2 linked regions of the Rattus norvegicus genome follow. The protein of the gene in region 1 interacts with the protein of each later gene in a biochemical or structural test. Links are inferred from orthologs where the notes say so. Each region holds a gene or a part of one and is shown on either strand. Other genes may lie near its edges.

Region 1 (3,615 bases):
GACCTGGATCAAACCACCTGTCCCCACAGGGTTTGCAAACAATACTAGTCATGAGCAGCTGCCACCCAGAGGACATCACAGGAGTCTAGCCAGGTCACTCAGGTCTCCTGGGACTGTGTGAAAGGCCACCTTGGGTCTTGGCCCTAACACTAAGCATTAGCTCTCTGGGCGCTTGGCAGCACCTAGGAACGGTGATTCACCCAGAGCAAACACCCATTTGCGCCAGACGAGGGGCAGTGAACGCCGGCTCTGTTGATCTTCCATCTGCAAATAAGCGAGAGGGTGAGCTGGCAGCGACAGGCTGAGAGCCGCTTCTGATCAGTGGCCGCCACTGGTCTCCCTGACGCCAGTGGCTCTCACTCTGCTCTTGGCTGCCACCCGCGAACACCCTTCCCTTTGGGAGTCCCAGGTTGGTGCCAGGGCCAGAGATGCTACCAAACACCCTGGGTGCAGAGGACAGGCTGGATCCCACATGGCTCTGGGATCAGGATGGCATACCTCCCCCCACCCCCGACTCCTGTCCTTAGGGCCAAGAAAATACACAACAGCAAGCTGGGATTTTACCAATTTTATTTCTAGATTTTTTTGTCTTTTTTTTTTTCCTGGACCATGCTGGTCACATGTCTGTGCTGGGAAGCGCCATGGTGTGTCAACCAGAATACACAAAGCCAACCTGACCACCAGCCAGAGCCCCTCAAAGCCATTCATGTCACAGGGCAGACTGTGTGGATCCACCAGCCTTTGGCCCTTTGGCCAAAACTTCACCCCATCACCATGGACACAGCAGCCCTCAAGGGTCCTGCCTGGTTGGGACGCCTCAGCTAAGCTGGTGGTGACCCTTTTGGTTTGGCAGCTTGCTAGGGAACCTGGGGCCTACAGCATTGCGGCTGGCTTTACATTAGCACAATGCTGTGAGTAACACAAAACAAGACAGAACACTAGAACCTAACAGATTAAATGATGCACCAGAGACTCAGAACAAATCTCTCCGGGTCCAGCAGCATGGTGGCATGCACAACAGGCCGCTACAAGTAACAATATTGATAACTAACAGAACACAGTTGCCCTGACTGCTGTGATGCTATGTCCCAGATCAAATGAAGGCCCAGCATGACAGGATGATCCCCAGCAGGGTCCCAGGGTCCCTGGAGGCAGACCACCCCACCCGCCTGCCAGGCCTATGCATGGCTAGGTGATACATGAGGTATTGTGTACAGGAACCTGTTTGTGTGTGTGTGTGTGTGTGTGTGTGTGTGTGTGTGTGTGTGTGTGTGTGTGTGTGGTTTTTTTTTTTTTTTTGGGAATACAGCGGTAATCACATTAATCCAAAATTGAATCACAATAAAAAAAAAAGTACAAAAAAGGGCATCTGTAAATACACTCTTCTACGAGGAAATTAAAACTTGAACATGGCAGTTTATGACATTGTAAAAAAAAAACAAACAAACCAACAACAACAAAATAAAACTGACCCTCCAATAGCAGCGAAAACAACATGAAAGATACAAAGCAACGTGAATCTGGTTCCGAACGCCGGGGATCCTGGGAGTCATTGGTAGCAGCGCTGTGAAAGGAGCCGCGGCCTGTCCCGTGTGGTCCCTACCCTCCATACTTCTTCTCTCACATCCCCTCTCCAGCCACCCGCTCTCCACCTCCCACCAACACATCCTGAACAGAAAGGCAGAGCCAGAGGTGTGCAAATTACCTACTGTTGCTAACTTGGGAGCGGCGGCAAGAATGTGCCAGACTCAAGACTCTTTTGGAGTCCCCTAATTTTCCTCAGTTTGGATGGCTCTCCAATGGGGCCAATTGGGTTGGGAAAGTCAAGGAGACCACATCTCCGTCTTTGTGGTTTGTTTTTTTTTGAGGACACCCCCACTTGCCCAATAAAAGACCAGTCTCTCAGACATGGCCCTAAACCTTCGCCAGCAGGGCAGAAGGTGTGCGTTTGAATCAAGGGAAGATCACATTGCTTTGAGTCACACGGGTCATGGGCAACCTTCCCAATAAATACTCTTCTGTAGCCTTACGTATAAATTAGAGATTTTAGTGTTTAAAAGCCTCCTGTGTGAAAGACTTAAGAGTCGTCCTGAATCCCCTTGTCCAGGTAATGCCATCACGGTCCCTACTTCCAAACGCCAGCTGGCACCAAAAGATCCCTCCGACTTTGCAGGAAGATCCCGGTGGTACGAGAACAGAGCTTTCTCTTCTCGACCCAACAAAACTTCCCAAGCACCTCATGCTACCAGCCCTACACACCTGCTGTGCAGCCATCAGAATTGAGTGTGTGGACATCCCCCAACCATTCCACTAGACCCCCTCCCCCACCGACACACACACACACACACACACACACACACACACACACACACACACCCAGCAACACTGCCTCCAGCTAGCTGACCAAAAGTGCTTTGAAATGGAATGGTTTTGGAACATGGAGAAGGAAAACATAACAAAACAAACCACACACAAAAGAAAAGCTGTGGGTTCAACCTGATGTGAGTGGGCTGCAGGGCCACCAGGCAAAAACCAGCATCTCTCTAAACAGGAACTACAAAACAGGAAGGTTACAAAAATAGAATATATTATGTCACTATTTCATCCCTACCGCTGCGTGGCTGGCTGGCGCTCTGTGAACCTGCAGGTTGTGGGGGGCAGAGGGCCCATAACATGAGCCCTGGAGGGTGCCACACGCCACGAGGCCGCTAGAGGTCGAATCGACCATCAGTAAGGTTAAGAGGTCTGCCCACTCCTGGGATAAAGCACAGGTATCATCAGGTAACAGGGCTGTAGGCACTGAACAAGCAGGGGAGTGAGGTTGAGGACCTTGCCAAAGCTGTGCCTTTTCAGCAAAGCAGAGTACATTTCTCTACCTAAAACCCTTCTACTTTAACAATGGTTTGCTGTATTTTTTTTCCTTCTTTTTTTAAAGCAATGTTTCTTAAGCTTTTTTTTCTTAAACACATAAAAGAATCAAAAATCCTTCTCAAGACTTCCTGTGTGTTAATCCTATTCTTAGAACAGACAAGCACATTAATAGAAAACTAGTTGATTACTGGGGTACAGAATTCTATTTTTGTAGCACCCCCCCGTCTCCCTATACTCAGGGTGATGCGAATTCTATCTCTCTCTCTCTCTTTAAGACAGCTTTCAGGTATTTTTTTTCTCTTTTGCTTAAATCAGATAGAAAGGAGAAAGATTAAGGAAAAACAACCAACAAAGAGAACAAAACTTCCCCTTCTGGTAACAACACATCCCCAAGGGGGACCTCGTCAGGAGCACCCGGGCTGGCTCCTTTCTCTTCGCGGATGCCACTACTTGGTGACTCCCGCCTGCCCGGTGGCCCTCAGATGTCCACATCTCGGACGTCGGTGGGTGTGCAAGCCAGACCAGCTTCTTCCTCCACTTCCCCTTCCTCCTCGGTGGCCTTGGGATCGATGTTCTGCTGGGCCTGGCGCAGGCTTGACTCCAGAAGGGCTTCAATCTGTTCCTGGCAGGCACGGAGGCAGTCCTGGAGAGGCGGGCGGAGATGGAGGGAGTCCTTGTTTAGCCAGAGGCCGGTGGCCAGGGCCTTGACCTGCGAGGCAGGCTTTGCTAAGGGCAAGGCTTGAG
Region 2 (4,155 bases), on another chromosome or scaffold:
AGCCTGAGCTCTGAGGCCCCTGCCCTGCCGCCCTCCCCAGCTCTGGCGGCCCGGGGCCGAACATAGTAGCCATGGTAGAGGGTGGGGGTCAGGATCTCTTCTGGCAGGAGGCCTGGGAGCAGAGAAAGAAAGAGAAGGCAAGAGGCAGGATGAGGAAGAATGCAGCGGGCACAGACAGGGCTGAAAGGCGATATCTGGAGATATGGGCTAGAAGAGCAGGTGGGAAACTGTAGAGGGGCTGGGAAAGGAGAGGAGATGGTTACGGAAAAAGCGAGCTGGAACTGGAGGACAGAAGCAAAACCAGAAAATACTCTGAAGCGTGCAAGGCCCGGACACCGAAAGCCCTGCCGATCTAAAGTTTGGTCCTGAAGTCTGTTAGCAAGACCAGAGAGAGTCTTGCTTGAGGGGGGAGTCTGGGGTGGGAGATGGCTCACCTCAGGAGTTCACTTAAGCCCCAGGTAGAGTGGAGGCCAGTGAAGCTGGGCAGTGAGCCCAGAATTTCCGGAGGTGGGGGTAGGAAGCATCTGAGCCATACCTTCTCCGAAGCGCTGCTCGCCCAGGCGGCTAGGGTTGGCAAATTCGTACTCGGCAGTGGCTGGGTGGGCGTGTGGCACTGTGCGGCCCGACATGACTGCTGTTGCGACTAGTAGCCCTGATCCCAAGTGTAGCCCCAACAAGATCAAGGCGACCCCTCCAGCTTCAGAGGGAGAGCCAGGACTCAGTCAGAGTGGGGGCGGGGTCTACACCACCCAAAATAGTGCAGAGCGTCTGGGGGATGGGGGAGGGGTGGGAGCCTAAGTCTAGAGTGCAGCTATGAGGGTGTGATCAGCGCAGCCTGGACCCCCTAAGTCCCCTCCTCTGTATACCCTTCAGCTGTCGCATAGGCCTGGAAGAACAGCTGAGGGTCCTGGTCCTAGAGTAAGCTGGGAAGAGAAACTGGTGCGCTGCAGGAGGGCAAGGAGAGGCCTGGTTGGGCCCTTCACCAATTGTACATTCCACATCACCCTTTGTCCTTATCAGTCTCAGGCACTGAGCACATTACTTAGAAAAAAAAAAAAAAAAAGACAATGTTCTATGAGCCACAGAACGTCAAAAATACAAGAAACATTTTCTGTCTTTTTAATGTCAGGGTCTTCTGAACCTAGATCAACTCGGGGTTCCAGTCAGACACCTAGTTCTGACATATTGGTGGTCACAGCTCTCCTCTGGGACTCCACAAAGAGTTAATGTCCCTGGGGCTCAGCCCAGGAAGATTCCAGCCTCTGCCCAGGCCCAAGATAGTTGCTGGCTCAATTCCCCTGGCATGCAAGACTGGAGAGGAGGAGGGGCCCACCAGCAGCTGCTTGGGATTCCAGACCCTGTCCTGGCTCCAGAGAACAAGGATGGGGTGGGTGGGTGCCACTAGGTGTGGACAGAGAGCTAGTGAAACAAGACCGTGACAAGTCACCGGCCAGCTCAGCCCTGCCCCGTGTTTCTCTTTTCTTAGCTCAGTGAGTACTGGGTATGTGTCACCCTGCCAAATCCCTGATCACAAGTCCCCATGAACTGTCGGGGAGCTGGGATAATAAAACCCCTGACATCACCGTTCCAGAAGCTTCACAAGACTGCATATATAAGGGGCAGGCTGTAGCAGCGGCTGAAGGAGTTGACCGGCTAACCGACTCTACACTCATCTAGCCATCATGGACATAGCCATCCACCACCCCTGGATCCGGCGTCCCTTCTTTCCTTTCCACTCCCCAAGCCGCCTCTTTGACCAGTTCTTCGGAGAGCACCTGTTGGAGTCTGACCTCTTCTCTACAGCCACTTCCCTGAGCCCCTTCTACCTTCGGCCACCCTCCTTCCTGCGGGCACCTAGCTGGATTGACACTGGGCTCTCAGAGGTAAGTCTCCCTTGTGCCAGGGCAGGAATACGTATCCTTCCTGGTCTCTCCATTCCTTTGCCCTTTCACCCTGCCTAAGTCATTTTAGGCATGTGCGTGTGCAAAGGTACAGAGAAATGAGGTTACTGTTTTCTTCTTCCTGTGGGCACCTGTTTCTGTTTGATGCTCCTGTTTCCTGGTCCATTTTTCTGTGCATGGTGCCTCTTTCTCCTCTTTCAACTCCTTTACCCACCTCTTTAATAGTCCCAGTCCTGGCAGATTTTATCATCTCAAACTGTAGAGATCAGATAGAAACCCACTCATTCTGGGCTTTTCCTGTCTTCTTTCCTCCCCACTTCCTTTTGATGGAGCTGGATACATCAATCAATATTCTCTCTCTCTCTCTCTCTCTCTCTCTCTCTCTCTCTCTCTCTCTCTTCCTTGGCCTATGACTTTCCGGGTTCCTCGGGGCTGAGACAGTGCATTGACTTCAGTCCATGCCTTAAGAGGACCGCTCTTGGGAAGCCCTGACTTCTTATCTCAGCAGCGTGGGAGATAAGATTAACAGAGGTTGTCACAGATAACACTGTGGTTTAAAAATATTCGCGTGTGAGGAAACAGGAGCTGAGTGAGCAAGGGCTTTGGAAGGACAGAACATTCCAGATCGAGTGGGTTGGAAACTTGGCAGGCAACTGAACAAGAAAAAGGGGGCTTTTGTTTTATAGACAAATGACAAAGCCAGCACTGGGTAGAGAGGCAGCAGATGCCATCCCCAGACCCATTCTTGTGACTAGTCTCCTACTGACCCGTCTTCTTCCCTGTGCCTCTCGGTAAAGTTTGGGACTGATGGATGACTAAGAGGTGTCTTTTGGGTATCACCATGGTGGCTCACATATACCAGTGTCACTAGTCATAAGAGGATTTTTCCCCCAGCAGCCAGGTAGAGGATGGATTACCAGGGCAGGAAGTAAATCTCCTGGACGATGAGCCTTCTCCAGCTTAATGGACATTCTACCATCTTTTCTCCTCCGCCCCCTTGTTATTCTAGATGCGTATGGAGAAGGACAGGTTCTCTGTGAACCTGGACGTGAAGCACTTCTCTCCAGAGGAACTCAAAGTCAAGGTTCTGGGAGACGTGATTGAGGTGCACGGCAAGCACGAAGAGCGCCAGGTGTGTGGACCTTTCTGCCTTCTCTTGTGAATTCATTTAGTGCCCTGCTGGATGCCAGGGACTGCCGCCACCAGCCTCTGAGGCTGGCAGAATTCCAGTCCCCAAACATAAGACTAGATCAGGAGTTATAGATCAATGGCTGGGAAACAAGTTAGGGCTAGATCTGCTGTTAGTGTTGTGGCTGTGCTGAGAGAACTTTCCCCTGGATGTTCCTTTTGATTGCCTTGTCTTGTCCAGTGACGTCAGAATAGCAGAAGAATTCTCAACATTCCCAACCCTCAGCACATCCTAGGCCAATTGAATCTGAAGTTTTAGGGACATAGCTCAGGCATCAACCTTTAAACAAACAAACAAACAAACTCACTCCTTGGGTACTTTCTGTACCCCAAACTGGCAGCCATTGCTCTAGGCACAGTGTGCTGTACATAATGGCTCTGCGAAATGACAGTCACCACGGAGTCGAAGGCAATAAAATCTGTGGCTTTTGAATGTTCAGGATTCCATGCCTCTTCTGCTCAGTTTAATGCTATGCTACTTGGTTTGTCTGCTTTTCAGAGCTTCAGGCTTATGGCTGTGAGGAAGTTAATTGAGATTTGTTTGTGTGGATGCTTGGGGTACTTGGGATTCAATAGGTAACAGGATTAGCATCCACAATTCCTCTTGCATTTTTAGCATTTTTTTTTCTTGACTTCCTAAAAAGGTGTTATGATTGCTTCTTAAAAATTAATGACTTGGGGGGCTGGGGATTTAGCTCAGTGGTAGAGCGCTTACCTAGGAAGCGCAAGGTCCTGGGTTCGGTCCCCAGCTCCGAAAAAAAAGAACCAAAAAAAAAAAAATTAATGACTTGGGGTTGGGGATTTAGCTCAGCGGTAGAGCGTTTGCCTAGCAAGCGCAAGGCCCTGGGTTCAGTCCCCAGCTCCGAAAAAAAGAAAAGAAAAAAAAATTAATGACTTAGGGCCTGGAGAGATGGCTCAGCAGTTAAAAGCACTGACCGCTCTTCCAGAGGTCCTGCATACAATTCCCAGCAACCACATGGTGGCTCACAACCATCTGTAATGGGATCCAATGCCCTCTTCTGGCATGCAGGTGTACATGCAGATAGAGTGCTCATACATAAAATTA

Evidence for each region.
Region 2: of the proteins of Ccnd1 (region 1) and Cryab, one has a biochemical effect on the other in vitro, tested with the Homo sapiens proteins (2 studies listed by BioGRID, with this or other methods). The link is inferred for Rattus norvegicus from reciprocal best matches to the Homo sapiens genes CCND1 and CRYAB.

Annotation. Positions count from the first base shown.
Region 1 is NC_086019.1:209,517,735-209,521,349, forward strand, and holds the end of Ccnd1 (G1/S-specific cyclin-D1), read right to left. Parts: intron 3,581-3,615; coding exon of another isoform or gene 3,515-3,580; coding exon 3,350-3,514; 3' UTR 554-3,349; downstream 1-553. UniProt on the Homo sapiens protein: Regulatory component of the cyclin D1-CDK4 (DC) complex that phosphorylates and inhibits members of the retinoblastoma (RB) protein family including RB1 and regulates the cell-cycle during G(1)/S transition.
Region 2 is NC_086026.1:59,990,178-59,994,332, forward strand, and holds the start of Cryab (alpha-crystallin B chain), read left to right. Parts: upstream 1-1,353; 5' UTR 1,354-1,682; coding exon 1,683-1,883; intron 1,884-2,910; coding exon 2,911-3,033; intron 3,034-4,155. Other genes in the region: Hspb2 (heat shock protein beta-2), read right to left, coding at 1-112, 536-629. UniProt on the Homo sapiens protein: May contribute to the transparency and refractive index of the lens. Has chaperone-like activity, preventing aggregation of various proteins under a wide range of stress conditions.